2 linked regions of the Kluyveromyces lactis genome follow. The protein of the gene in region 2 purifies or fractionates together with the protein of the main gene of each other region. This does not show direct contact. Links are inferred from orthologs where the notes say so. Each region holds a gene or a part of one and is shown on either strand. Other genes may lie near its edges.

What was found. The genes of interacting proteins can lie anywhere in the genome.
Region 1: the proteins of MNN10 (region 2) and MNN9 purify together in Saccharomyces cerevisiae (affinity purification with mass spectrometry; 4 studies listed by BioGRID, with this or other methods). This does not show direct contact. The link is inferred for Kluyveromyces lactis from reciprocal best matches to the Saccharomyces cerevisiae genes MNN10 and MNN9.

The regions. Positions count from the first base shown.
Region 1 is NC_006041.1:1,137,701-1,140,968, reverse strand, and holds MNN9 (mannosyltransferase complex subunit MNN9), read left to right. Parts: upstream 1-1,508; coding exon 1,509-2,687; downstream 2,688-3,268. Other genes in the region: RAI1 (decapping nuclease), read left to right, coding at 1-560; BRR6 (Brr6p), read right to left, coding at 596-979; alkaline phosphatase PHO8, read right to left, coding at 3,012-3,268. UniProt on the Saccharomyces cerevisiae protein: The M-Pol I and M-Pol II complexes possess alpha-1,6-mannosyltransferase activity and are probably involved in the elongation of the mannan backbone of N-linked glycans on cell wall and periplasmic proteins.
Region 2 is NC_006039.1:1,342,277-1,345,369, forward strand, and holds MNN10 (alpha-1,6-mannosyltransferase), read left to right. Parts: upstream 1-1,570; coding exon 1,571-2,566; downstream 2,567-3,093. Other genes in the region: PEX5 (Pex5p), read left to right, coding at 1-994; RNA-dependent ATPase DBP3, read right to left, coding at 2,925-3,093. UniProt on the Saccharomyces cerevisiae protein: Required for polarized growth and efficient budding. The M-Pol II complex possesses alpha-1,6-mannosyltransferase activity and is probably involved in the elongation of the mannan backbone of N-linked glycans on cell wall and periplasmic proteins.

The sequences.
Region 1 (3,268 bases), on a different chromosome or scaffold from region 2:
TCATCTCAATGGTTAGAACAGGAATAGGTAAATGTAAGATATTGATCGGTGCAGAAGTGGACTGTATTTTTGATTTTAAAGAGGATTCAGATGACAACCTGAAGCATTACGCAGAGTTGAAATGTACCACAATGGTCAATACCGTTTCCGATGCGCATAAATTCGAACGTAAGTTGTTTAAAACCTGGTTACAGTGTTTCCTAGTAGGAATAAACAGAATTATATATGGGTTTAGAGATGACAATTTCATGCTCAAAACTGTAGAGGAGTTCACTACATCTGAGGTACCGCTAATATTGAAGAACAACAACCCACAGATGCAAACTGTGTGTGTAGATGCCATAAAATGGTATGGTGCCTTCACAGAGTGGTTATTGACAAGTATTCCAAGACCAGAAGACGATATTGACACAATTAAAGCCTATAAACTCATCTTTGAGAACAATCACCTAAAACTCACGGAAATTGAGTCTGACGACGAAGAATACAAGCAGCTGGTGGAAGGAGAAGAGATACTATCAAATTCGTTCAAACAATGGAGAAAAGATCTTCGCAAGTAACTTCTTTATACGTGATATATATGTACACAGAGAAACTACTGAAGTAGTTTACTAGAAATTGATATAAGCAATACAAATAGCATCAGTACTATTATTGTCTTGAAGGCAAGTGCCTGTATAAACGAATTTAACGTGTGTGCAAGTGTCTTGGCATATAAATTGGCCATCTGATGAACGCTGGGGTGCGAGTCCAGCTGCGCACAATGCCACCATTCATCACATTTCCCAGCTAAAGCCGGCCGTATTCCCTCACTACATCTATTCTCAACATAAGATCGTTTGCACTGAGAGATTTTCTTCATATCCACCCATTGCTGTTCCAATAACTGCCATTGCACATCTTTATGCACAGTCCAACAGAAATATCCCACTATTACCACAAGTAAACCCTGGAATACCAATTTATTCACTGAGTGCATGAGAAGAGGCTATGACAAGCTCTTAACCCAAGGTCTTAGCACAGGTCTTGGTTCATTTGGTGCTCTATTCAATACACCCGGCCAAGCAATGTGCGTCCCAAGATATTAATCAGTGATTCGAAAGGTTGCTCTTCGGCAATTACTTAAGAAAAAAAAAACCACGTGACTTGTGCTTTCAAATCGGCGAAATCGAATCCTTAAGACCAAATTCACACTGAAAGAAACAAAATGGGACACAGAAACATATGAGAAACAAGATAGAATAGTATAGTTACCCTCTGCCGAAAATTCTCAACTTCCGAATAGCTTAAAACAAGAAAAGCCGTAATTTCAATATCAATTTGGCGAGTTTACTAGAAGTTCAAGAAGGATAAACACGGTCGGATTGGCGTCTTGCTCTGTTGAATATAGACACTTTCGCTGTCTAATCTTTGGGAGAATTAATCAAGGAGGAAATTGAGCCGATAATTGAGTGCTATAGATCATAGTTTTGGTTGATTAATTTATAAACATAAACATAAACATAAAGATGGCTTCCATGTCTTTGATCGCATACCGTGTGAGGAAATCGCCGATTCTTTTCATCGTGGTACCTATATTTGTGCTATTTTGCGTGTTTCAATTAGTTTTTTCCAGTGGGAATAACGTACTAGGATTGAGCGATGATATTATGAACCATCAATGGGCAGATCAGTCCGAGAAGACATTTTATTTCCCATATACAAAGAAGTACAAGATGCCAAAATATTCATACAAGAAAGTTTCCAGTTGGTTGTTCAATGATAAAGTTGACGATTTGATTCCTGAAGGTCACATTGCCCATTACGATTTGAACAAGTTGAAATCTACCAGCAATGCCTTAGTAAACAAGGAAAGAGTATTGATTTTGACTCCAATGCAGACTTTCCATCAACAGTACTGGAATAATTTGTTGAGTTTGACTTACCCAAGAGCATTGATTGAGCTTGGATTTATTATTCCAAGAACTGCGTCTGGAGATGCTGCTTTACAGAAATTAGAATCTGCAGTAAGAGAGGTTCAAACAGGTAAACAGGATAAAAGATTTGCCAAGATAACCATCTTGAGACAAGCGTCTCAGTCTTTCGACAGACTAGGAGAAAAGGATAGACACGCACTAGAAGTACAAAAGGAAAGACGTGCTGCTATGGCATTGGCTAGGAACGAATTGCTGTTCTCTACCATTGGACCGCACACTTCATGGATTCTATGGTTGGATGCAGATATCGTTGAAACTCCAGTCACCGTCATTCAAGACCTAACGAGCCATAACAAACCGGTTCTTGCCGCTAATGTGTATCAAAAATTCTATGACAAAGATCAAAAGAAGGAAAGTATTAGACCTTACGATTTCAATAATTGGGCTGAATCCGAAATCGGTTTGAAATTGGCCCAACAACTTGGAGATAACGAGATTATCGTGGAGGGGTACTCTGAAATTGCGACTTATAGACCATTGATGGCCCATTTCTACGACGCAAACGGTGCCACCAACTCATTAATGGAACTTGACGGTGTCGGAGGTGGATGTACTTTAGTGAAAGCTGAAGTCCACAGAGATGGTGCCATGTTCACTAACTTCCCATTCTACCACTTGATAGAGACAGAAGCATTTGCTAAGATGGCAAAAAGATTGGGATATTCTGTGTTCGGTCTACCTAACTACTTGGTATACCATATTGAAGAATAAGCGCTATGAGTTTTCAGGGAGAACATAGCATCAAACGTACTGCGTAGAACGAATCCTCAATTAAATTAAACGGGAAAAGGTACCGTCTTGATCTTTAATTGGTTTTACTCTTTATGTACTTAGACCTATTATGTAAAATACTATTAATATTTCTGCGTACTATTATTATAAGCGAAATAACACCTTCAATTACCACGTTTAGTTTTGAAACAAAGAGCAGGAGATATAGTGCAATATCTATGGGGACAGATCGCATACGATTATGCAATGAAACGGAATGCAATTGTTTTGTCTTTTCCAACCTTTATAAATGTTAACAGGGAGTTAGATTTCTATTTCTTTCAAGAATGAAGGAATGTATTCAAAGTAGTTTTCCTCTGAAGCGGAAGATACAAATTCCTGAGTATGAGTGGTGTTTTTGATCATCTCTGTGACTTTCTTCAAATCAAGGCCCAAATAATTTCTCATGAAATGACCAATTTCAATATTCTCATGGTTACCACCAAGTTTATCCAAAATCTTAGACTTCAACCCGTCCTTGTTGGAGTATGCATATATATTAACATCGACTGCGCTATGAC
Region 2 (3,093 bases):
GGCTGATAATAATTTGGAAACAAGTGATTCTCAATGGGAGAAAGATTACGCTCGCTATATGACTGGTAAAGCAACACATATTCCACCTTACAGATTTGATAATGATAACCAATACATGCATAATCCAAATGCCTATGAAATTGGATGTATCCTAATGGAAAATGGGGCGAAGCTAAGTGAAGCTGCATTGGCTTTCGAAGCTGCTGTGCAAGAAGACCCCGCGCATGTAGATGCATGGTTAAAGCTTGGATTGGTTCAAACACAAAACGAAAAAGAAATGAATGGTATTAGTGCGCTTGAGCAATGTTTAAGCCTAGACCCCACTAATCAGCAGGCACTCATGACAATTTCTATCAGTTATATTAATGAGGGATATGATCTGACCGCTTTCAGCATGCTCAACAGATGGCTAGATAGTAAGTACCCTGAGTTAACACGCTCCCCTACCATTGATGAGGCCAATATCGATAGGTTTAATTTGAGCAAACAAGTAATCACGAAGTATTTGCAAGTAGCTAACGCCTTGCCTCAGGTGGATCCAGAAGTTCAGCTCGGTTTGGGAACGCTTTTCTATGCCAATGAAGAGTTTGGTAAGACAATTGACTGTTTCCGCACCGCATTAGAAGTCAATCCAAATGACGAATTAATGTGGAACCGTTTGGGAGCCTCTTTGGCCAATTCAAACCGTAGCGAAGAAGCTATCCAGGCATACCACAAGGCCCTTGCCTTGAAACCGTCTTTTGTGAGAGCTCGTTATAACTTGGCCATTTCGTCAATGAATATTGGCTGTTATAAAGAGGCTGCAGAGTCTCTGCTCTCTGCTCTATCTATGCATGAAGTAGAGAATGTTCCAATTACTGGATCAGTCGTGCAATCTAACAATATTCTGGAGACCTTAAAGCGTTCCTTTGTCGCCATGGATAGGAGAGATTTGCTAGAAAAAGTCATGCCGGGCATGGATCTACAGCAATTTCGTAATGAGTTTAACTTCTGATAATGCAACGCAGCGAATAGTCTTTGTTTGATAGGACCATCCTCATATTCATAATGAATTGATCTTTCACCAAGTTTTGCGGAAAAATACATTCGCATAATTAATTACAAGCATTTAGTCGCATATATGTAGTCGTCATTCGATTGTATTCCTCAACGAATAGTGCAGAGGTCCATGCTCACGATCAGTGTACCAGTCAAAGTGTTATGGTAAGCTGTCGCGGTATCTAGAGACAGATTGCGATTCTATCATTTCTACCGGGTAACATTTTCTTGTTTTGGATTTCTTCATTTTAAAGCGAGTTGCAAGAATTTGAAGTAATGTCAACAGAGTAAAAATATATGTTCTCTATAGATAAACTCCAGAGTAGTACAAAACAATCATTTACTGGTTGTTGTTTGTGTATCTAAGTGATTTCGTTAGTACTTCAATACGTTAAGGAAATATAGTGTGACTGCTTGGAGCAGAAAATACTATTGATCGCGTTTTGCTGTTTTTCTGAGGCATCCAACTTGATCCGATTTATTGTATATTGTACGTGAACGAGAGACCAGTCAGAAAATCTAGATAGGATCAATGACTTCGAGTACACCTTATGAGTACTCATACGAATTGGATGAGAAAAAGCCATTAAATTTGGATTCCAATTACGTGTCGTCATTTTCAAAATATAAGAGGTACGTCCTATGGCTGTTTTCCATACTTTTCATATTATTTTGGTTAAGTGATTTCTCACTTGTTGCAGCTGAACCCAAGGTGGTGATAATTGTTGCTGTCAATAGTGGTGGCGGTGGTGTTTTAAAGTGGAAATCGGAACAAGAATGGGCTATCGAGCGTATTTCTATCGAAAACAAACGTGCATACGCCAAAAGACATGGTTACGGATTGGTCATTAAAGATCAGGCACTATCAAAGAGATACTCCCATGAATACAGAGAGGGCTGGCAAAAGGTTGATATAATGAAACAGACTATGAGGGAATTCCCCAATGCTGAATGGTTTTGGTGGTTAGACGTGGAAACTCTTATCATGGAGCCCCAACTTTCTTTGGAAGAACATATCTTCGATAGACTAGATGAAATCGCAAACAAGACTTTGGAAGCTTTCAATCCTTTGCATATAGCTACCGATGTGGCATATGTTGACTATTCACAACCGTCAGATATGTTAATTACACAGGACTGTGGTGGTTTTAATTTGGGTTCTTTCCTAATGAGAAACACTGAATGGACTGAGCTTCTTCTCGATATATGGTGGGACCCAGTCGGATATGAACAAAAACATATGGTCTGGGAACATCGTGAACAAGACGCTTTAGAAGCATTGTATGCTAACGAACCTTGGATTAGAGAGAAGATCGCATTTCTACCACTAAGGCAGATCAATGCTTTCCCACCAGGTGCTTGTGCAGATTTCAAGTATGACTTGCGCTATTTCTATAACGAAAAGGAACATGACTTCGTTGTCAATATGGCTGGGTGTAACTTTGGTAGAGACTGCTGGGGTGAAATGCGCCAATACACTCAACTGATGCAAACTCTTCACCGTAGATGGTACTCGATGTTCTTTTAGATTCTCAATTTCCTTTTGTTTATCACTTCAGTTGTATTTCAAAAATTATGCACTGCTCCATTGTACTAATACTGTAAAATAAAAGGCGAAGGTACAAGAAGATCTTCGATAGAGTATCCCCTTTTATACTTTAATGCTTTCCCTTTCAACACCATTCTTCGTTGCCTTTCAAAGTCATTGTTTGAATATCGCATATTTAATACGTCTTTAATTTCAATTTTTATCGTGAACATTCATTGTACAAACTTCGATGCAAGAGTAATTGTAAACTTTTATTTACTCTGTATTGAATGAACTACTGTACATAATGGGGGTGATTGCTAAAAAATACAAGAATTGTCTTTATAACGGATTTAAATTAATCAAATGTAATCTTTTTTGGTTTCTTTGATAGGTCCACATCCTTGAAGAATGCACCGTACGCACTATGTTCCTTCTTCTTTGTGTGAGTACCGAACTTCTTGAGCTCCTCAGGAACAGGTTGACCAGCACCATTTAAGACATTAACAAGGGCACCTGCAAGATGC